Macaca mulatta: one gene and its partners. The protein of the gene in region 1 purifies or fractionates together with the protein of each later gene. This does not show direct contact. Links are inferred from orthologs where the notes say so. Each region holds a gene or a part of one and is shown in the gene's direction. Other genes may lie near its edges.

Region 1 (5,344 bases):
ATTTTAGGCCAGAAGTCTGAGGTATGAAGGCACTGAGGAGAGAAAGCTTAAAGGTCTGGAAGCTTTATCCTCCATAACATGGCTTAATTGAAGCCTTTGGCCAAAATAAAAATCATCAAATCAGTCTGAAAGAATCTTGTTACAGTTACAGCAACTGGAATTCACAAAGTTTTCAGGTGAAAAGAACCCTTGAATGCAGATTCTAGAGTCGGAGCCATGTGACAGTCACTCGGTAGAAAAGGTCCTCCCCACCTCCTCCTGCAGCCTTTACTACGGTGTGATTGCTTAAGGAGAAAGAAGAGATTTTCTTCTGTCCACATTAAGATTAAGGTAAACTGGGCCGGGCGCGGTGGCTCACGCCTGTAATCCCAGCACTTTGGGAGGCCGAGGCGGGCGGATCACGAGGTCAGGAGATCGAGACCATCCTGGCGAACCCGGTGAAACCCCGTCTCTACTAAAAAGACAAAAAATTAGCCGGGCGTGGTGGCGGCGCCTGTAGTCCCAGCTACTCGGGAGGCTGAGGCAGGAGAATGGCCTGAACCCGGGAGGCGGAGCTTGCAGTGAGTCGAGATTACGCCACTGCACTCCAGCCTGGGCAACAGAGCGAGACTCCGTCTCAATAAAAAAAAAAAAAAATTAAGGTAAACTGTGCCTTAATCAGAAAACCCTCAGTCATTCCTGTGCTTACTCAGGTTGTGAACTTCAATTGCCAAAACCTAGGTGATCCTTATATTTAACTAAGTTATTGAACTTGTTTTTGTTTTTTTTTTTTCTAAATACCAATCTGTAGATTAAAAAAAAAAAAAAAAAACTGTAAGTTGCCAGCACTGTATACAGCTAGGCCAGCCAGAAGCATCTGTGAGTGTTTCATCCTGTGGGAATGTGAGATTGTTGCACGGTTTAAAAAGTCTGTTCTAATTTCATTTTGATGTGACTTAGAGAAAAATACTCCCCCGTGCCTCATGCCCACACCCTGGGCAGTGCCACCCGCAGCTCGGCAATTGCCACCTTCCTTGCTGTGGTTTCCCAGCCTTGGGCCCTGCCCAGACATTGGTCTGAGGCTGCCTGGTGCTCTTCCCCACCACCCTGGGGGCCCAGGTTTCTCTTCCCCTCGCAGATCCAGAGGCGTAAAACCACATTTGGAAACCTGGTTTGTCATGAAAGTGGCCATCTGACTTTTTCTTAAAAATGTTTGGGTTATGGCCAGGCGCGGTGGCTCATGCCTGTAATCCCAGCACTTTGGGAGGCCGAGGCAGGCAGATCATGAGGTCAAGAGATCGAGACCATCCTGGCTAACATAGTGAAACCCCATCTCTACTAAAAAAATACAAAAAATTAGCCGGGCGGGGTGGCGGGCGCCTGTAGTCCCAGCTACTCGGGAGGCTGAGGCAGGAGAATGGTGTGAACCCGGGAGGCGGAGCTTGCAGTGAGCCGAGATTGCGCCACTGCACTCCAGCCTGGGCGACAGAGCGAGACTCTGTCTCAAAAAAAAAAAAAAAAAAATTTGTGTTATATTCATCTTGAACCTATCAAACGTTTCTCAAAATTAATACATCTTTGTTCTGTCTGTGCTGTCGTATTTAGTTCTTTATTGTATGATTCTCTTTGTTTCATATTAAAAGCATTAGTGTATTAATCTAATCTTTGTTGTCACCCTAGCCAGTCAAGCCAGAGATCTGTTATCGAAAATGCTAGTGATTGATCCTGACAAGCGGATCTCTGTAGACGAAGCTCTGCGTCACCCGTACATCACTGTCTGGTATGACCCGGCCGAAGCAGAGGCAGTGAGTATCTGTTTTGAAAAGACTTGTATGTGGAGGCCGGGCTTGTATTTCCTTGGATCTTGTCTGCTCGTCCAGAGCGGCTACATATGGGTAGCAAGTTCTCCATCTGGGGCTCCCAGTTACAAAAAGGCCAAGTGCTGTCTGAGGCCTGGGCCGCTTTGCTCGGAGGACCTCAGGAATGAACTTACGCTTTGGTGATACCAGTCTCCATTTTGCAAAGGCTGCTGTGAGCTCATAGTTTATTAAGCATCTGTTCTGTGCCATTGGCTTTGGTTACATCCTCTTGTTTAGGCCACTCAACCAGAGAGGCTGAGCAGCTTGCTGAAAAATCACACGTCTGTGTATCCTTCCCTAAAGGCCTTGTGCCTCCTGGCTCTCCCGCTGGAGGAGCTCCACTCTGAGTTCGGTGCTCACGTGCGTGTTTCTGTGTCAGCGCTGGTGTGAGTGAGCTTTAGCTGTGAGGGAGATCACTGCGTAGTGGCGGGCTTCCTTCGTGCCATGAGTGACACACATGTTTATGGCATGGCCTGTGGTTTTGCCATCAGTTTAAACGTTGTTTTATATAAAAAGAATCCAATTTATAAGCAGACTTTTGTAACAGTCCATTTATGAGTTGGACTTTGGGTTTGGGAGTTCTCACATGAAGAACATGTAAAATTTGTTCTAAGAAACAGCAGTACCTTCCATAGCTGCCTGCACAATGCCTTGTCCATGATGGGTCTCGGGAAACAGCCTGTGATGGGCAGATGTCTGTGTTTTGAGGTCAGGTGATTATTAAGAGGAACATAGTAACTCTTTTTTGGTTAACTTTTTCATAATTATTTTGATCCCAAAGCTGATCCAATATTGCATGACAAATCTTTATTAAACCATGTGTTGAATTAAACTAAATCCATATCATAAATAGACTAGAAGTCTTCCAAGCGATTTTACCTTTTTTAGTGCCTCATTTTTTTTGAGGCATTACTATTGACTTTACATATGATTTAATTTTTAGCCACCACCTCAGATTTATGATGCCCAGTTGGAAGAAAGAGAACATGCAATTGAAGAATGGAAAGGTAAAGATGGAGCTTATTTTGATCCTTCCTTAGGACATTTCTTCCAGTCCTGTAAAGCAGAGGCTTTTCATTTTGTGACATTTCCCTTCAGGAAGGGGCAAGAAATGCTGCGACCCACTTAGCCTCTTTCTCCCCAGTTTCCAGTAGAAAAAGGACTTGAAGAGAACAGAGTTAGAGAGGAACATGTATCAATTTCTTATCATTTGCTTCAAGAGGGAAAAATAGCATTTTTTTCATGGCTTTTCACATATCGGTTTGTAAACTGAGCTTAGTAATTGCATCACACTTACATTGATAACATGTTGCAAATTTCAGGTGACACCAGTTCACAGGCTGCATGTTACCTATAGAATTCCCAGTGTGTGCAGATATGGGGAGCCAGGGCTGGGGGTCATGTGAACTTCTGCCTGCTTTTTTTAAGCCGTGTAGTTGTACATACGTTTTAAAATCTAGTTTGGGGGAAACTGCAGATTGAAAATATGCAAATAGGTATTATTACCACTGTAAGATTAACCAGACCACCCACAACAAACTGCACCTATAATGAAGAGGTCGGCCTGACAGTTCTTCATTAAGAAGCGGCATCAGTAGTAACTGAGAACCACAGTCAGAGTGAGTCAGCACTGAGGGTGGGTCCTGCCCCGGGGCCCTCCTGGAGTGCCGGTTGCCTGTGTGAGCTCAGCAGTGCATGCTCACAGCACACTCACTGGCCTCCGGAAATGGTTGCAACGCGCTAGTGCTGGTTTATGAATACTGACATTTTAGGAATCCCTAATCACTTACTTAGTAGGTAATTAGTTTTTCTTACAAATGAAAGTTGAAGTTGAAACAAGGAAAAGACTTAGGCGTGTGGATTCATTTCTGGCCAGTGTCGGGGGTTCCTAGCCCACATGTGGATGCCGGCTACCTTTGGAAAACCCCAAGTAACTACGTAGAGAAGCATATTGAAATGGATGTGAGAGTATCCAGTCCCTTACAGTGTTCTGTGGGAGCCAGTCCACTTCATACAGCCCCTTGTGGGTCCAGAACCACCCCACGTTTTGCTCCCTTACTGCTGCATGGAAAAGATGGGATGTAGTCCAGGCGCAGTGGCTCACACCCGTGATCCCAGCACTGTGGGAGGCCCAGGCGGGCAGACGGCTTGAGGCCAGGAATTCAAGACAAGCCTAGCCAACGTAGCGAAACCCCATCTCTACAAAAACTATAAAAATTAGCCAGGCATGGTGGTGAACACCTGTAATCCCAGCCACTTGGATGGCTGAGGCATCCAGGAGGTAGCGGTTGCAGTGAGCCAAGACTGTGCCACTGCACTCCAGCCTGGATGACAGCATGAAACTGTCTCAGAAAAAAAAAAAAAAAAAAAAAAAAAAAACCCAAAGAAAGAAAGAAAAGAAAAGATATAATGTATCAAAACATGAATATTTTGGTCCACTTAGACTATATTACTGAATTGACTCTTATCTTACAATTAAAAATAACACATCGGAGTGCCTTTGGAGTGGTTCCAGTTGATTTGGAAGCAGAGTTTAGAGATACAATGAAACTGTTTAGAAACTGATTAAGCATTTTAACTTGTATTTTTATTAAAGAGCTAATTTACAAAGAAGTCATGGATTGGGAAGAAAGAAGCAAGAATGGTGTTGTAAAAGATCAGCCTTCAGGTTAGTGATTGTTTTAATTGATTGTATGATATTTTTCTTACCTTATTCAGCTTTTCTTTTTTGAGACAGTCTCACTCTGTCACCCAGGCTGGAGTACAGTGGAATGATCTCTGCTCACTGCAACCTCCACCTCCTGGGTTCAAGTGATTCTCCTGCCTCAGCCTCCCAAGTAGCTGGGATTACAGGCACGTGCCACCACGCCCGGCTAATTTTTGTATTTTTAGTAGAAACGGGGTTTCACTGTATTGACCAAGCTGGTCTTGATCTCCTGACCTCGTGATCCGCCCGCTTCAGCCTCCCAAAGTGGTGGGATTACAGGCGTGAGCCACTGCACCTGGCCTCTTTCCCTATTCATCTTTTATAAATGGCAGCAGCATGTTTGAAACGCCAGCCTGGCTAGCATCAGATTTAAAAACCACTGTATGAATAGCCACCCTTTTTGGCTTGTCATAGTGAAGGGGGTGGTGGATGGCATTTTACTGATGTGCCAGGCACTGAACTTCCTTATAAACATTTCTCTTTCATCTTTGCAACGATTGCTGTCACGTCCATTTACAGATGAAATGGAATTTAAAGCCTTTTCAACGTTGATAACCCACCCAAAATGCCAATCTAAGTAAAATGGAATTTGGTTTTCTCTTGAGAAAATTGTTCATATCATTCTCCCATTTTTCTACTTGATCTGCCGATCTTGATAGTGGTGGAAGCCTGCTGACCGGGTGGTTGTACGATTATGAGAGACTCTGATATTAGTGGTATTCACTTACGTCTGCAGGATTCTTCCCGTTTACTAAATGAAACGCTCAAGTTATATTTATTGTCTCTCTCCCACTCCCAC
Region 2 (5,344 bases), on another chromosome or scaffold:
AGGCGGGAAAGCACAGATGTGTTAGGAAAACAGTAGGGAGAGTCTGTGACTCTGGCTCTCCTACTTACAGAGCTTGTTAATTCTATTCGGCCACGTGGTAGATTCTGGCTGTATTCCTTTTGATTGGTTATTCTGGTTGCACAAGTCTTTAGAACAATCTTTGTTTCAGGGCGTTTAAGAGGAGTTTTTCTGGGCATAGTTATGTATTGCCAATTTAAAAGATCAGCAGAATAGTATCACTCTACATCTTCTGAGAACCAGTCCTTGAATAACACATCTGAATGTTGCCGATTGAATTGATTTAACTATTATCCTTAGTTGGCCAGGCGCGGTGGCTCAAGCCTGTAATCCCAGCACTTTGGGAGGCCGAGACGGGCGGATCACGAGGTCAGGAGCTGGAGACCATCCTGGCTAACACGGTGAAACCCCGTCTCTACTAAAAATACAAAAAAAGTAGCCGGGCGCCTGTAGTCCCTGCTACTCGGGAGGCTGAGGCAGGAGAATGGCGTGAACCCGGGAGGCGGAGCTTGCAGTGAGCCAAGATCCGTCCACTGCACTCCAGCCTGGGCGACAGAGCCAGACTCCGTCTCAAATAAATAAATAAATAAATAAATAAAATTTTAAAAATAAATAAATAAATAAATATTATCCTTAGTTATAAGATCTGGACATTCTGAGTCATAAGAAATTACAAGTTGCATAATTTTAGTGTTCAGTGATTTGTCTGCTGGTGCTTTGAAAATTTTTCATTCATTTGTTGTATATGTGGTAACTGTTGTATATGTTTTAACTACCAAAATTAGATAGAATTTCCCATTTCCCAAGTGTGTCAGGTGATAGAGTTGTTTAATACAGGGTGAGCTTTTTTGGAGATGTCATTTATAGGATAAGTTTTGTGAGATGCAGGCTACTTGTCAGCCTTCCTGAAAGAGAAATGCGTATCTCTCCACTCTTCTCTTGGTCTGTGCTCCAGTAGATGGTGGGATAGGGGTGGATGGAATGAAAGCTTTAAATTAATGCTTTAGATCATTTGGGAATTTTCTTTTTAGTACGGCTAGTTGGAGAGTTGGCTATATGGGAAATAGATGAAATGCTGCTAATGTTGTGGAAAACACGTCACCGCTGTCTACCTTCCTAGGAGTAATTTACCAAACCTGTGTGGCTTGGCTTAGCCAGACCAAAGTGTCTACATTGAAACATTAGTTACACATTTTGTTTGCTTTTTTTAGGGGTATGAAATTATGTTGCTTTTTTTTTTTTTCTTTTCTTCAACTAGTTTCAACTCTCCATGTTTACTGTCTGCTGATCCTGAAAGAATTGTGACCATACTTTAGTCTGTGAGTGTCTAGAGAACGAAGTTGCCTAAATCAGACATGTCAGACTGAGGCATAACAGAATTACTCTTAAGAGCAATTAAAGTACTTTACTGCAAAATAAACATTTTCATTATTTTCCATTTTTAATGTTAGAGTTGTCTCCTTTGTGTGATCATAAAGCAACAGATTTTCTTTCCAGTATGGAGAGAAGAGAGAACTGTCCTCTACAGGTGAAGGTGTACTCTAGTTTTTCACATATATTCTAAAATAAGCAACTGAAAGGATTGTGTTTATGTTACAAAAAGGGAGTTTTGTTTTACAAAATAATTAAACTATGTGAGAACTACAAAAGAATGTAATGGCCAGGCATGGTGGCTCATGCTTGTAATCCGAGCACTTTGGGAGGCCAAGGCGGGCAGATCACCTCAGGTTGAGAGTTGGAGACCAGCCTGACCAACATGGAGAAACCCTGTGTCTACTAAAAATACAAAATTAGCCGGACAAATTAGCTGGGCGTGATGGCGCATGCCTGTGATCCCAGCTATTTGGGAGGCTGAGGCAGGAGAATTGCTTGAACCCAGGAGTTGGAGGTTGTGGGTGAGCGGAGATTGTGCCATTGCACTCCAGCCTGTGCAACAAGAGCAAAACTCCGTCTCCAAAAACAAACAAAAAACAAGAATTTAACTGCATAGTTCAAAACTGTGCAACCATATGAACTATATGCAGATTATTTAAAATATAAAAGTTAAATTTGCATATGACTTTTTAGAAAAATGTCTTCCATAAAGTAGAGCTTTGTATCAATATTATTTCTTTGTATAACCATGGAATCCATTCACAATATAGGGTGGGAGGGCAGTTCTCTTTGATTCTGCCTTCCTTGAAGGCGGCTCTGTCAATTGATAAATCTCTAGTGACTTGCTCCCTATTTAAATGAAGGCATGAGTGGAAAGGTCCTGTCTCTCACTGCAGGAAACCATCTTTAAAGTCATGGAATTGCTAAAAGGATAGGGATCTATTTTTAGAACTTTGGCCTTAAAAACATTTTAAGAATATCACTAAGCCACAGTAGAGTACTACTTTTATTATGTAAATATACTTCCATTTTAAGAAAATACTGTGATTTATAACTGATTGCATGGGTGAGAGGGAAGAAAAAAGAGTGACTAATTAGAATTGTTTAGTAGAGTTGTTATATGTATTTTATTTTGCTTAGCAGATTTTTCCCTCCCAAAATGGAATGGTGGTTCACGTTTGCTTTTACAGAAAATCGTATTTATGATTGGAATTGTGAAGGAGGTGCTCCTAAGGGAAAATGTTTTCATGGCTGAATTAGGATAAGGTGTTATCTAAATCAGGAATGCCTTAGAAGCTGTATGTACCACATGTTTTCTGTGTCGGAAGTAGTATCTATGTTTTTATTTGTAAACATGCATTCTTTTGGTTGGATTTATGGAAGACTAACAAACAGAAACATGGGTTTTTAGCATTGCGGTCTGGCTGCCTGTGCACCCACAGCTGTGGAGGCCAAGACGCTTCTCTGCCTGCAGAGACTGCCCATCCCTGTTTCTCAGCAGGCTGGAAGTGTCTGCGTATTTGTCTTCCTTCCTCTTAGCACAGATACTTCCAGAATAGGGGGCACAGTCATTCTTAGGTTCAGGTCCATGTTAGGGAAACACATATAGGTTACTATGACTCCGTTTTCTGCATTCCCAGATGATAAACAGCATAAAATTAGGAACAGGAGAAACTTGGCAAGATTGGACAGTGAGTCAAGTCTTCAGACAACTTTAAAAAATATGCGCAAATTTTTTCAAGAAGCTTATCAGTTTTTCGGTACTGCTTTTCACAGTAAATAGCGGATAATGGTCGATGTTATGTCTTGTAATGGAATCTAGCTTGGAGTCCCTGGGACAACAAAGTTATGACGAGGGCAGATAAGAGGACACTTCATTCTCTGTCTCCGTCAGCCATTTGGAGCAGAAAGTTTGCATGATTGAACTTTCCTTCTGAAGTAGATCTTATTTGTAAGAGAACTTATGAAAGGAAGAGGGACATTTTAAACACGTTTCAAAACTGAGTTGCTGGTGAGGCCACAGATAGTTTTCAGAGGTTCAAGGGAATCAGGCAGTGTCTCATCTGTTGTTAATTAATGAAACGAAACTGGAGTCACTAGAGTGCAGCAGTGAATGAAAGGTCAGTGAATGGAAAAAACTGTCAATGAAGGAGGATGTCAGCAGAGTGGAACATTGTCATAGATAAAGATCAGTGAAAATGTACTCTGGCCGAGGTGGTGTTTTCTGGAAGTGACTAGGAGCCAGTTTGGGACATTTCAAGCCAAACTGAGCACTAAATGAATGTTCTGATTGCAGCTAAATCTGTTAGATATTTTAAAATATTTGTTTGTTTGAATTTGTTCTAGATATCAGTTGAAAAAGCTTCTTTTGTTTTATAATATGTTTTACAGTGTAGTGTTGTTGTTATGTTTGGCTCTTTTGTTTTGAGGCTGAACGATGGTTTCTTTCTCTCCTTTGTTTCTGTTCTCTGTCTCAGAACTTTCTAGAGCCACATTTACTTTTGAGGTCCACTGAAGTCAAAGTGACATAGGATTACTGTACTAATTAACGCTAGAGCTGGACCTCAGACAGCCTGGCTGATGGCTCAGTTTATGATTATTGCAGAATTGCGTCTCCTCTGAAAGTTGTTCTGTAGGGGGTGACCTGAAAGCCAAGACATGGCCTCAACTTTACTACCAACTTGTGTAAATGGTCATGAACAAACCAGTGACCATATTTACATTTCAACTAGTTCATCTGTAAACTTTGTTATTGGTGTCGTGTGAAATTGCCTTTAAAGAGATTCTCCTTTCTCTGGTCTTGTCAGATCTTCTTTCTTCTCCCTCATTGAAGCCTTTGAGCAATATGGCTTTGGGGAAACAAGGCTCTTCCATCAGTTTGGGAAAGGACCATGGCCGTTTTAGCCTGGTCACAGCTGGGAGGCCAGGACCCCGTGAATATCATCAGCAATGTCCCTGCATCCAAGGGAGAGTTGAAGGTAATTCCACAGGATTTAGAAAAGTAGACTTATAACCTGGCTCTTCCAGTTATTATATTACGTGATTCTGAGCCTATATTATGTGATTCTGAGCCTTATCTATGAATGGGATTAGTAGTAATACCTACCTCATAGGGCAGTTATAAGAGTGTGTAAAATACCTATAGAGTGCTTAGAGCAGCGTTTGTCACACAGTAAGCGTTCAGTACGTTCTAGGATTACATACATTATAAAAATAATCATTTATAAGGTTAAAATGAAATTCAAGTGGCATTTCCTTGGATTCTGTGGTTTCTCTTTGAGAACATTTACTGGAATATTGTTTTGTTGGAAGTATGTATGTATTTTTTTGAGACAGAGTCTCACTTTGTCACCCAGGCTGGAGTGCAGTGGTGCGATCACAGCTCACTGCATCATCAACCTCCTGGGCTCAAACAATCCTCCCACCTCAGCCTCCCAAGTAGCTGGAACTACAGGAACACACCAGCATGCCTGGCTAATTTTTGCATTTTTTTTTTTTTTTTTTAATAGAGATGGAGTTTCTCCATGTTGCCCAAGCCGTTTTGTTGGATTTAAATGACAACCATTCCATGAACTATTTTAGAGCCAGAATAGAAAAATATATGAAGGCAGTTCTTTAGAGAAACACCAGAACTGGCAGGGTGCAGTGGCTCATGCCTGTAAACCCAGCACTGTGGGAGGCTGAGGTGGGGGGATCACCTGAGCCTACGAGTTTGAGACCAGCCTGGGCAACATAGGAAGGACCCTGTCTCTACAAAAAATACAAATATTAGCTGAGCGTGGTGGCGCCCGCCTGTATCCCTGGCTACTCAGGAGGCTGAGGTGGGAGGATCACTCACTATGGACTGGACAGTGTTAAGTTCTTTATATGTACTTAGCTTGGGAGGCAGAGGTTGCAGTGAGCCGAGATCATGCCATGCCACTCCAGCCTAGGCCATAGAGTGAGACCCTGT
Region 3 (5,847 bases), on another chromosome or scaffold:
CTGAGGCAAAACGAGCTTCAGGCGGCAGAGCCTGAGCCGCGGTCCGCGGACGGCAGAGGGCGCGCGCGAACCGCCAGGCCGGCCCCTCTCGGCCTCCACCTGCCCTGCCCGGAGCGCAGGTCCCGCCCCAGGCTGCTGGACGCCGCCAGACCCTTGCCGCTGCCTTGGAGCCTCCCTGGCCCCTCGCAGGATCCTCCCCAGCCCCAGAGACCCCCGAGGCGGCGTCTACAGGCCCGGGCCGGGACTGACACCGCAGCCCCCTCCCTGGGTAGCGCCTCCCACCCGAGTCCACACCTGTGCCAGGAGGCGGTGCGGCCGCCGAGCTGAGCTGAGCTGAGCTGAGCTGAGCTGAGCTGAGCTGAGCTGACCTGGTCGGACACCCAGGCCCCTGCGCCCACCGCCCGGGCCGGCACCTGCTGGGTGTAAAGGCAACGTGGAACCAAGCAGCGGGGCTGCAGAAAAGCCACCGTCCTCTCCGGGGTGCCACCTCCCTAGCCCTCCACCCTGGTTGGGGGCAGAACCTAACGCTCTCAGTGCTTATTTGCATGAAAATGACCACGAGGATTATAACAATCGCCACCCAGGGCACTCCGCTCCCCAGGGACAGCCCAGGCCCTGCCAGGGAAGCTGTATTCCCCTCCAAACCATCCCCTGACAGCCTCCAGGAAGGGCTCAAGGTCGCTGCCTGCCACCTGCTCCAGCCTGGCCAGTAGCTGCCCAGGGTATAACCAGAGCTCTTAGGGGACAATGGGCACTCCCAGGCCACAGGCAGATGCTGGCCACATCCCACCTGGGCAGAAGACACGCCCGTCCTTTTCCCATCCGGCTCACCTGTGCCTGGCAGGGGAACAAGCCAGGTGAGGCTTCTCCCCAGGCGACAGCCCCTCTATCTAATGGCCAACAGCTGCCACGCCTTCGCGTCCCAGGCCCTTCCAGGCCTGTGTGCCTCCTCAAGGACCTGCTTTGCCCCCTCTGGGTCTCAGCCTGAATCCTCCTGCCCCTCCCAGGGCCAAGCCTCCGCCACTTTTCAAACCCAGCAAGGCTGCATCCTGCAGCCCTACTCACCTGGCCCCGCATCCGGGTCTGGCACCTCCGGCCTCAGGATCCCCCTTCAGCCAGGGCCTCCCTTCTCGCAGGGCCCTCCCGCTTCGGGGCGCAGTCCCAACCCCAACAACCCCTAGGCTCCCAGGGCTTCCTTCCGGGACGGCCCCACTCTCGCCAAGGGATTCGTTTGTGCTGTGTGCCAGCTCTGTGCCAGGAACGCACTCCACCGCCACCCCTATCCCATAAGGGCCACTGCCGCTCCCCTCAGGCTGGCCAGGGAGGGGAGCTGCAAGCGCTTATTAATCGCCAACTGTGTACTCAGTTCTGAGGCTGGCAGGAAGACTGAGTATGGAAAGGGGGAGCCCCGAACCCCGCTCAGGACCCCCTGTTGCCCACAGTCCTCCCCACCCCCAGCCATCACCTTTCGCACCCTGAGCTCCAGGGTCCTGGTGCCGACTGAGGGTTCTGCGGTCGTTGCGCCGGCTTCATTTTCTGTGGCCCTTCATTCAACCAGCGACCGAAGCCCCCTTCAGAGCCCCAGGGTGACCCTGGGGGGTCCAGGCTGGTTGGGGGATTGGGGGCAGAAGGTGGATCCCCCCACGCTCCCTCTCCACCAGGCAGCGGCGAGGAGGCCTTTTAGAAATGTCTGGGGTGTCTGGAGACACCCCTACCAAAAAAAATCATTACCTTCAAAGACTCCCAGGCTCCTAGGCAGGGGTCTTTGTCCCCTTCCTCCGGAACAGCGAGGCCTCCCCGCCCTCCCCCTGCAGCGCGAGTCTGACCCCCTTGCTCCCGCCCAACACCTGCCCAAGGTGCAATTACCCGTGCGTTCTTCCTGCCCCTGACTCGCCGCGTCCCGCCGCACGCGCGGAGGTGTTCCCACAGCGGTCGGCGGAGGACGGCCCCTCAACAACCCGCACGGGGGTCGTCGCGGCGGCTTTCCACGGAAGCGGGAGGGCGGGGGTCGTGGGGGGCGGCGGCGTCCTGGGGAGCCCGCCCCCGGAGTTCGCGGATGTGTGACCCGAGGCAGCCGGCTCGCCTCTGAGGGTCCCCGGTCCGCCCGGGTGCAGGGGGCTCCGGCTCCGTCCTGCGGGGGTCGCGGCGGGGCGAGCGCAGCCGCTGCAGGTAAAACGCCGCGCCCGGGTCTGGGGAGGGCTCCCCCGCGGCGGCCCCGCGCCAACAAAGGCCGGGCGAAGTGGGGAGCGGCGCCGGCGCCTGCCCGGGCCGGGGGAGGACGTCGCGCCCGGGGCCGCTCGGCTGGACCGTCCGGGGTCTGTGCGACGCGGCTGGGGGCCCGGGTGACGCGGAGCGCGGGGCCGGGAGGGCTTCCTGGAGGCGGGGGCCCGGACGCCGCGTGGTCCCTTTAAGAGCCGGTCCCGGGGTGAGGACAGAAGGCGGCGGCAGCGCGACCCACCCGCACCCTGCACCCCGCCCCCCGCGGCCACCGCCTCGGCTTCACCCCGAGCCCGGGCTCCGCTGACGTCACCTGCCCCCGAGCCGCGCGAGCTGATTGGCTGCAGGTGACGTCAGGGGCTTTTTTCGCTCGGCATGACCTCATCCCCGCCGGCGGCCCCGCCCTCCGCCCCGGGCCTGTCACTCGCGGCCGAGCGCGGCGGCCGAGCCAGCTCCCCCCACACCGCCCCGCCGGACGCCGGACGCCCGAGCCCGAGCCCGAGCCCGAGCCCGAGCCGCGCCGGAACCGCCCGGCCGCGCCCGCCGAGCCGCGGGGCTGGGATGCGCGCCGCGAGCGCGCGTGCCCGCCCGCAGTGCGCGCGCCCCGGCCCGAGCGAGCGCTCCCCGCGGCGTTGGCGGCGGCGACGGCGGCGACGGCGACGCGGCCCGCGCGCTCCCCCGGCCCCTGCCCCGGCTGCGCGGGCCCCCGCCGGGCCCATGGACGGCGCAGCCGAGCGGGCGCCCTGAGCGCGGCGCGGGTCCCCGGAGCGCCCCCGAGGCGAGCGCGAGCGAGGTGAGCGGAGGCGCCGGCAGGGCGGGGCGGGGGCGGGGACGGGGGCAGGCGCCGGGGACTGGGTTCACCGGCCCGGGCCGGGGGGCGGAAGGCGCAGCGTCGGGGGCGCTGGGGCAGCGGCACCCGGCGGGCGCCCGGGAGGAGGAGGCGGCCCCGGAGTGAGCGGCCCCGGCCGGCCAGGACGCCCGGGACAGGGAGGCCCCTTCCGCGCCTTCCGCAGCGCCCGGCGGACCCGGGCCCAGCCCACGCCCGCCCGCCGCGTTGCCGTCCTTCTCCACGCAGCTCCTTCTTTGGGTGCGCAACGGGGGGGACAAAAATCCGGGACCCACCAGGGCCACCTGAGATCCAGCGCGGATCTGCGCGACCCCCCAACGTCCCGAACGGCACCCCCGCGGGGGCCAGAGCCGGAGCAGGCGGACCCTGGCCCGGAGCCGGTCCGGGAGGTGTGGAGCCTCGGCCGTGGGAGGGACGCGACGGCCTGTGGCGTGGGACACCCGAGAAGGGGCCGTCCCCTGTCGCAGGGGAGGGCTGCAGATCCATCCCCCCAAATGTCCAGGCCGCCCCGCACCCCCACCCCGGGGTGCCCAGCCGGCCCCTGAGGGATAAAGCCCCTGCGCCCTTCCGCCTGCTGCAGAGGCAGCCGCGGCGCTGGGGGAGGGGCTGGCACAGCCAGGCTGCTGCAGCCACCTCGCTAGGCCTAGCTGCCCAGCCTGGGTTGCGGAGCAGACCAGGTGGGGGTACCTAACAGTCTGGCTTGGAGGGGAGGGGGCAACAATAGGCCCAGCCCCCACAGGGTCACCCCTTCTGGGAGAATCTGCCTCCGTCTCCCTGCTCCGGGGTGTGTGTACGGGCCTCTGCTGAGGGGAATAGGGGCTCTGTGCTGCAGTGATGGGGGGCGGGGACGCTGTGGGATGGAGGAGGGGGTGGCAGGATGTAGTGTGGCTCCGCAGTGCTCTTGCTATGCAGCTTGGGGTGGGGGTGGGGTGCTGCGAGCCAGGGAAGCTCCTTTTGTGCCCCTGCGGGGGTTCCGAGGGGAGGTCCAAGCCCGGGCACTCTCCCTTGCCTCCCTTCTGGCACAGCCCACCCAGAGACACTGTTGCACCTAGGCGGTGCAGGGGTGAATGTAGCACCCCAGGCCCCCAGCCCTCCACCAGGAGGACGGTCCCATGCATTCACTGATAATAAGCACTGGATGCGCATGGCAGATCATGTGACCCCAGCTGGAAGTTCATCCTGAAGTCTCCCTGAAATACCTCCTGCTTCAGGCAGCCTGGGGCTGCAGGAGTGTGGCTGGGCAGGTTCTATTCCCCTGGTGCCCTCTGTCCTCGGGGAGGTTTCTGGGAATAAAGTCCCATGAACAGAGGTGCAGAAAGAAGCTTAGAGTCAGTCTCTGCTCCAGAACCCTTCTCTTCTCAGGCTGGGGCTGAAGTCAGGGCCTAGAGGCTGCCACTGGGCAGGTGTCTCGAAGGGCCTTCGGCTGGGGCCTGGTGAGACCTAGGTGTCACTTCTTGCAGAAGGCAAGGAAAGGGGCAGGCCCACAGCGAGAGAGAGGTGGTTCTGGACATGAGAACTGCACCGGCTGAGGCTCCCTCTGCTGGAGTTGCTCAGGGCAGTGAACCTTGGAAGCCCCAGGCTGGTCCTGGTGTTTAGCGTGTGGCACAGTGACCAGGAGGAGGGACACAGGCCCGGTGGGAAGGGAGGGAACCTGGATATGTCCTCACGGCCCCCTGTGCCAAGCCCTCCCATCCCCTGCCCTACCCGGACCCTGTTCTGGGATCGGAGGGAGCCCCCAGCCCTACCCCACTTTCTCCCAGGTCCACAGCTTCCCCAGGCCAGCGGAACAGAGTGTAGGCCAGCTTGGGTCCTGCACCACTAGCCCAGGGAGCTGAGGGGATGCAGGGATGAGGGCATTTGGGGGAGCCCAGTGAGGGAAGAGAGCTGACCTGCATGAGTGCAGGGTCGCTGCCTCCCAGAGTCGCCACCCACCAGTCTCTCCCCAGCCTCCTTATTGTGACGATTTCTGCCTCCAGAGGCATCCGTGGGTGACAGTGAGCCAGACAGCTCGAAGAGCCTGCCTAGGTGTAAGGGGGAGACACAGTCCCATCCCCCCATGCTTGACAGTCCTGGCAGCTATCTCTGAAGGTCATGAGTCCCCATTTCTAGGTGCTGAGCAGAAGGTAATGTGGCGAGGATGCTGTCAGTTGAGAGTTGGGGGTGGCCTGGGACTCCCTGGTCCCATCTGTGCTCAGGGACAGGAATGTGCTGTGTAGAGGCGCTGGGTGTGGGAGTTTGTGTGTGTAAGGAGTCTGGAGCTGGCCCCCGGGGTACTGGAGTCCTGGGGTTCTCAGGGGATTCTGCATACAGAGGGCAAGGACGTGCGTGTACTCTAGTGTACGTCCAGCACCACATGTGTGCACACATTCACGCGTGGGTACTTGCACACAGGGCAGGTGGATTGTGGGTAAGGGACACCAGTGTGTGTGGAGTGGGTGTGCAAAGGGGTGTGTTCTGGCACACCTAGAGGGCAGTGTGCATGCAGCACCGGAGCCAGGCGTGCTGTGTCCCAGGGGAGGGTGGCTACCTGGTGCCTCCTGGAAGGTGTGGGCCTGGGAGGAGCCTTCTTGTGACTTTGGACTTGGAAACTGCTTCCTCCTGGGCTCAAAGACCTTTGAAGAGGGTGTATGGGGCTGTGCCAGGGGGCATCCTGTCCCCAGCCCTGCCTGTCACCCCCCAGCCCCTAGGCACTGGAAGAGCAGGGCCACAAGTACTCAGGAGGGCTTGGCATGTGGTGCCGTGAAAGGAGAGGCGTGAGACCAACACCATTCACGTTTCCTTAC
Region 4 (6,134 bases), on another chromosome or scaffold:
CCATCACAAGAGCCTTTTGTTCCCCGCACAGGACACACTGAATAATAATTCTCTGGGCAAAAAGCACAGTTGGCAGGATCGGGTGTCTCGATCATCCTCACCCCTGAAGACAGGTAAGTCAGGGCCCTTTTCCTTACCTGGACCTCCGCCTGCCCTGACTCAGTCCCCACTGCAGAGAGCAAACCCTGCAGTCTCCAAAGGGCTGAGTAGAGGTAAACTGTCCACCCACATCCCTGCACAAGCCCATCCAGGGGGTGAGATCAGTGGTAGCGTGAGGGAGTTGACTGGCCCCAGAGAGGCTTTGTCTTGGTTTCTGTGTCACCAAGCTGAGAGTGGCGGGTGCAGGCAGCTGGGAGTTGGGAGAGAGCCCCTGCCTTCATGACCTGCCTGCTCTCCAGGGGAGCAGACGCCGCCACATGAACACATCTGCCTGAGCGATGAGCTGCCCCCCCAGAGCAGCCCCGCCCCCACCACAGACCGGGGCACCTCCACCGACAGCCCTTGCCGCCGCAGCACAGCCACCCAGATGGCACCTCCGGGGGGTCCCCCTGCTGCCCCGCCTGGGGGTCGGGGCCACTCGCATCGAGACCGAATCCACTACCAGGCCGATGTGCGACTAGAGGCCACTGAGGAGATCTACCTGACCCCAGTGCAGAGGCCCCCAGACCCTGCAGAGCCCACCTCCGCCTTCCTGCCTCCCACTGAGAGCCGGATGTCGGTCAGCTCCGATCCAGACCCTGCTGCCTACCCCTCCACGGCAGGGCGGCCACACCCCTCCATCAGTGAAGAGGAGGAGGGCTTCGACTGCCTGTCGTCCCCAGAGCGGGCTGAGCCCCCAGGCGGAGGGTGGCGGGGGAGCCTGGGGGAGCCGCCGCCACCTCCACGGGCGTCTCTGAGCTCGGACACCAGCGCCCTGTCCTACGACTCGGTCAAGTACACGCTGGTGGTGGATGAGCACGCACAGCTGGAGCTGGTGAGCCTGCGGCCGTGCTTCGGAGACTACAGTGACGAGAGTGACTCGGCCACCGTCTATGACAACTGTGCCTCTGTCTCCTCGCCCTATGAGTCGGCCATCGGAGAGGAATATGAGGAGGCCCCCCGGCCCCAGCCCCCTGCCTGCCTCTCCGAGGATTCCACGCCTGACGAACCCGACGTCCATTTCTCCAAGAAGTTCCTGAACGTCTTCATGAGTGGCCGCTCCCGCTCCTCCAGTGAGTCAGCAAGGGGAAGCAGTTGGGGGGTGGGGGTTCCCTAGCGGGACAGAGCCAAAATGCGAAGTGTTCTGGGAGGCGACCCCAGGCCCCATCTGGTTAGGACTGAGGCTTCTACCTGCCCCGCTAAACCTGGATCAGAGCTGCGACCTCCCATCCAGCCATACCCCCTCACCTGCAGGTGCCGAGTCCTTCGGGCTGTTCTCCTGCATCATCAATGGGGAGGAGCAGGAGCAGACCCACCGGGCCATATTCAGGTGAGAGCCATGGGCTGGCTGGGCCTGGCCACGCAGCAGTTTGGGCCACACACCACCCTCCATTTGTCACCCCTACATGGCCTCAGCCTAACCCCTGCCATCAGCATTCGTTGATCCACTCAGCCCTGGGAGGACAGTGTCCACTCTCTAGGGACTCAGAGTATGGTGACAAAGAGGATGGCTACGGTGAGGGATCCCAGGACTGCGCACCTAGTCTGGTCGGGGGCAGGGCACCCAGGAGGGTGACCAAGAGGATGCCTGCCCACACCCCACCTGACCCTTCTCTAGACAAAAGCCTGCGCTTCCCACAGCCTCTCCATTTTAGAGGGTCCCTGCCCGCACCCTCCCTTGGCCTGTGTTTCCTCAACGGCAGACGCATGTTTGCTTGACCTTGCTCTCCCCTGGGGTTAGCACTGCCACAGGCACACAGGATGCTTTTGCAAATGTTTACTGAAATGACGATGCTGCTGTGGCTCCCAGACTGCAGAGTAGGCCTGGCCGGACAGGCCCTGGTGCCGAATTTCTCACCTGTCCTTGCTGGGGACAGGTTTGTGCCTCGACACGAAGACGAACTTGAGCTGGAAGTGGATGACCCTCTGCTAGTGGAGCTCCAGGCTGAAGACTACTGGTACGAGGCCTACAACATGCGCACCGGTGCCCGGGGCGTCTTTCCTGCCTATTACGCCATCGAGGTCACCAAGGAGCCCGAGCACATGGCAGGTAGCGTTCCCTGCCTGGCCTGTGCCCCCAGCCACCACATCTGTCTGCCCTGACTTGCTGCTGGGTGAACGTGTACTCCAGATCTTAGCCAGACAGGTGGGGGGCTGAGTGGAGGTGATTTTAGGTCCTTTTCACGATCGAGCAAAGTGAGGCCCGGCCAAGTTGGGCAGCCAGGGATTGTGGCAGCCTGTGTGGGCTCTGCCATTCCCTGTGCCTTACCCGCCCTCCTTCGCTTGGCTGCTCAGCTCCCTCCTGCTGTTTCTGCCCCTCCTCAATTCACACTTGCTTTCCAGCCCTGGCCAAAAACAGTGACTGGGTGGACCAGTTCCGGGTGAAGTTCCTGGGCTCAGTCCAGGTTCCCTATCACAAGGGCAATGACGTCCTCTGTGCCGCTATGCAAAAGGTACCTGAGCCCTCTCCCTTCTCCTCCCTTGGATGCTCCCTGGGGCAGAGGAATACAGGTGTCTAGAGGCAGTAAAGGCCTCAGGGCTCAGGCCCTGGGACAGGAGGGATCAGCAGAGGAACAGACAGCAGCTGACGTGGCTCCGTGTGTCACCTATAGATTGCCACCACCCGCCGGCTCACCGTGCACTTTAACCCACCCTCCAGCTGCGTCCTGGAGATCAGCGTGCGGGGCGTGAAGATAGGCGTCAAGGCCGATGACTCCCAGGAGGCCAAGGTGACTCCTCCCAACCCAGCCCCTTCCTTCCATGGCCCCCAGCTTTCCCCCAAGACTTGGAGTGAAGAGGCCGTCTCCTCTCACCCTCATTGCAGGCCAGGTGACCGCCCTCTTGCTTCTTTTCTCCCTCCTGTAGGGGAATAAATGTAGCCACTTTTTCCAGTTAAAAAACATCTCTTTCTGTGGATATCATCCAAAGAACAACAAGTAAGTGGGGGTGGGATGGCAGTGGAGGAGGCACGGCTGGTCTGCAGCCTTCAGGTGGTTGGGTGTGGGCCGAGCCCCTGTCCCAGCACAGACAGACCTGTCCCTGCAGGTACTTTGGGTTCATCACCAAGCACCCCGCCGACCACCGGTTTGCCTGCCATGTCTTTGTGTCTGAAGACTCCACCAAAGCCCTGGCAGAGTCCGTGGGGTACGTGTGCATCCTGCTGAGCACCCAGCCCGAGGGAGCACACCTCATCCCAGGCCCTAGGGCTGCTTCCTGGTGCTCAGCTTTGCCCCTTGGTTTCCCCCGCAGCTCTGGAGAACCATCTCCAGACCCCAGTGCAGTGGCCTGGAGGGAGGGTGGCAGGGCAGGGCGAGCCTGAGGAGTGGCTTCCAGGCTTGGTAGCTGCTGAGCCACGTCTTCAGCTGACATCTTACTGGGAAATGCAATGGCAATTCTGTAGAGAACAGAGCCAAGTGGCCCCGGCCAGAGGAACCAGAGCTGCATTCAGGCCCCAAGGCTCCGGTGGGAAAACCCTGGGTCGTGATCCCATTCCTCCCTTGCCAGTGGCGGTCTGAGCCATCTGTGTGTCCCCTGGCTTCTAGGAGAGCATTCCAGCAGTTCTACAAGCAGTTTGTGGAGTACACCTGCCCCACAGAAGATATCTACCTGGAGTAGCCGTGCAGCCCCGCCCTCTGCATCCCCCGGCCCTCAGGCCAGTGCCAGGACAGCTGGCTGCTGACAGGATGTGGCACTGCTTGAGGAGGGGCACCTGCTACCACCAGGGGATGAGGAAGTGGGGGCTGCTGGCCCAGGGTAGGGGAGGGTGGGGCAATGGGGAGAAGCAAATGCGGTTTATTGTAATATATGGGATTAGATTCATCTATGGAGGGCAGAGTGGGCTGCCTGGGGATTGGGAGGGGCAGGGCTTGGGGGGCAGGCCTCTGGCAGAGAAGGATGTCCATTCCAGGAGCACATGGCCCTGCCCCATCCTGGGCCTTACCTCCCCTGCCAGGGCTCGGGCGCTCTGGCTCCTGCCTTGATGAAGCCCGTGTCCTGCCTTGATGAAGCCTGTGCCACCTGCAAGTGCCCACCCTGCCCCTGCCCCAACCCCCACCGAAAAGCCGTGAGCTCAGGCTGAGCCCAGCCACCTCCCAAGGACTTTCCAGTGAGGAAATGGCAACACGTGGAGGTGAAGACCCCGTTCTCAGCTCCGTCATTTGCGGGACTTTGGGTGGCTCCTGCCACTGACCTCACCGGCATGCTGGCCTGTGGCAGGCCTAGGACCTCAGTGGGGAGGAGGAGCTGCCGCAAGGCCCTGTCCCAGCAGGAGGGAGGCTTCCTGACTGACACAGGCCAGCCCCATCTTGGTCCTGTCACCCTGGCCCCAACTATTAAAGTGCCATTTCCTGTCTGGACTGCAGTGGATGTATCTGTATGGACTCCTCCTGTCCCCATCTCACTCCCAGCCCAGGAAAGCCAAGCCTTTGTCATGTGTAGTATCTTTATGGGGGCCTTGGGTCATAGGTGTGCGTCGTAGTAATACTCAGCAAGGTCGGGCCCATCCCGCTTGCGCTGCTGGGCCCGGGACAGGCGGGGTCGAGGCCCTCGCGGCCACGGGTGCTTGGGGAGGATGCCATAGTCTAGAGAGAGAAAGGAGGGCATGGGTGGGAGGGGCAGCTGGCACCCTTGAACATATGTGGTTTGGGATGACAAGCCCCTGAAGGCTGGACTTGGGGCACCCCTTAGGGGAGTCTCCACTGTCAGGGAGGGGCAGGGGAAGGGGAAGGGGAAGGGGACGAGAGAGATACTACCATCCACCAGGCCGGAGAGTGGCTGTGAGAGTTCCAGGGGTGCGGAAAATGCCTCAGGAACAGACTGCTGAGACCTGTGGGAGAGGTTGGGGTGCTCGGCCCTGGCCCAGAAAGCCACCGCCACCTCCTTGTGAATGGGGGGATGGCCCAGTGTGGGGGCACTTGGCAAGCCCTCCAACACCCAGGGTACCAGGGCCAGCCAGCCCCACTCCAGAGAGGGGAGGGGCAGCACCTCTGCCATCCAGCCCGAGTGCCCTGCCCCTCCGTGCCCCAGGAGTCACCTCAGAGGCTGGGAGTGAAGCAGTGCCACTGCCAGGATAAGGTGGAGGAAGAGGCTGAGCCCAGCCCGGGGGTGCAGAGCCCCCAGCATGGCGAGAACCATCTCCTACACAGGTCCCAGCTCCTGTCGTCCCTCTCCTGGCAGGACGGAACCTGTTGCCAGTTCCCAGGGCCACCTCACAAAGGGCCTTCATTCCAGGCTTGCGTCAGCACCTGCAGGGCCAGCAACCTCCACCCTGAGGCTTTTGTTCTTATTGATGCTGTTGGCTAATAGGTGCCAAACCTGATCTTGTTCTAGTGTCGCTGCCCAGGGAATCAGGGCACACACTGTACAGTCAGATCTCAGCTGAGGTCCTGACCTTGCCTCTTGGTAGCCAGACAAGTCACTTCATCTCTGTGTGCCGGAGTTTCGTCATCTGTGATGTAGTCCATAACACACCCTACAGACACAGGCCCTCCGAAGAGGGCAGGGGCTCCTCACCACCCAGAGCCCCAGCCATTCAAACAGCCTCCCCAACTCCCGCTAGCATAGCAGGAGGTACGGGCAGGTCCTGCCAGCTGAGGAGCCCAGAGTGGGTCTTTCAGCTCTGCCCATCTCAGGGTCTACGTGACAGGGAGTGTCCAGGCTCCCCATGTCCCCGGCTCAGGACCTCTCTCTCTCTCGGCTGCCTGCAGCTTAGAGCGGCCTGAGGCTAGATGGATGGCTTCCAGACGTGGTGGCAGAGCTCTGGACCTGCCCCTCAAATGCAGGCTTCAGGAGGGCAGGGACAGCTTTGTTCACTGGAATCTGCAGCCCTGGACCCCTGGTAGGCGCCCAGTGAGCACGTGCAGCTCGGCCCTGCACTGGACATCCTCCCCTCGCAGGCCTGGGCTCAGCTGCAGGTGCCACCAGAAGGCCTCTGGCTGGCTCCTGGTTCTCCACTCAGCAGCCAGGCTCAGTCCACTTATACCTGCAGTGCGAACCTG

What was found.
Region 2: the proteins of MAPK9 (region 1) and DUSP16 purify together in Homo sapiens (affinity purification with mass spectrometry; 6 studies listed by BioGRID and IntAct, with this or other methods). This does not show direct contact. The link is inferred for Macaca mulatta from reciprocal best matches to the Homo sapiens genes MAPK9 and DUSP16.
Region 3: the proteins of MAPK9 (region 1) and DUSP8 purify together in Homo sapiens (affinity purification with mass spectrometry; 4 studies listed by BioGRID and IntAct, with this or other methods). This does not show direct contact. The link is inferred for Macaca mulatta from reciprocal best matches to the Homo sapiens genes MAPK9 and DUSP8.
Region 4: the proteins of MAPK9 (region 1) and MAPK8IP1 purify together in Homo sapiens (affinity purification with western blotting; 4 studies listed by BioGRID and IntAct, counting the BioPlex papers as one, with this or other methods). This does not show direct contact. The link is inferred for Macaca mulatta from reciprocal best matches to the Homo sapiens genes MAPK9 and MAPK8IP1.

The regions. Positions count from the first base shown.
Region 1 is NC_133411.1:189,251,685-189,257,028, reverse strand, and holds part of MAPK9 (mitogen-activated protein kinase 9), read left to right. Parts: intron 1-1,659; coding exon 1,660-1,784; intron 1,785-2,781; coding exon 2,782-2,845; intron 2,846-4,434; coding exon 4,435-4,506; coding exon of another isoform or gene 4,507-4,511; intron 4,512-5,344. UniProt on the Homo sapiens protein: Serine/threonine-protein kinase involved in various processes such as cell proliferation, differentiation, migration, transformation and programmed cell death.
Region 2 is NC_133416.1:14,927,815-14,933,158, reverse strand, and holds part of DUSP16 (dual specificity protein phosphatase 16), read left to right. Parts: intron 1-4,199; coding exon 4,200-4,370; intron 4,371-5,344. UniProt on the Homo sapiens protein: Dual specificity protein phosphatase involved in the inactivation of MAP kinases. Dephosphorylates MAPK10 bound to ARRB2.
Region 3 is NC_133419.1:1,475,185-1,481,031, reverse strand, and holds the start of DUSP8 (dual specificity protein phosphatase 8), read left to right. Parts: upstream 1-2,028; 5' UTR 2,029-2,169; intron 2,170-2,639; exon of another isoform or gene 2,640-3,010; intron 3,011-3,172; exon of another isoform or gene 3,173-3,304; intron 3,305-3,327; exon of another isoform or gene 3,328-3,453; intron 3,454-5,847. UniProt on the Homo sapiens protein: Has phosphatase activity with synthetic phosphatase substrates and negatively regulates mitogen-activated protein kinase activity, presumably by catalysing their dephosphorylation.
Region 4 is NC_133419.1:19,709,966-19,716,099, reverse strand, and holds the end of MAPK8IP1 (C-Jun-amino-terminal kinase-interacting protein 1), read left to right. Parts: intron 1-31; coding exon 32-113; intron 114-398; coding exon 399-1,211; intron 1,212-1,392; coding exon 1,393-1,468; intron 1,469-2,015; coding exon 2,016-2,230; exon of another isoform or gene 2,231-2,252; intron 2,253-2,374; exon of another isoform or gene 2,375-2,433; coding exon 2,434-2,591; intron 2,592-2,750; coding exon 2,751-2,867; intron 2,868-3,003; coding exon 3,004-3,074; exon of another isoform or gene 3,075-3,183; coding exon 3,184-3,282; exon of another isoform or gene 3,283-3,680; coding exon 3,681-3,753; 3' UTR 3,754-4,489; downstream 4,490-6,134. Other genes in the region: FREY1 (protein Frey 1), read right to left, coding at 4,597-4,718, 4,890-5,130. UniProt on the Homo sapiens protein: The JNK-interacting protein (JIP) group of scaffold proteins selectively mediates JNK signaling by aggregating specific components of the MAPK cascade to form a functional JNK signaling module. Required for JNK activation in response to excitotoxic stress.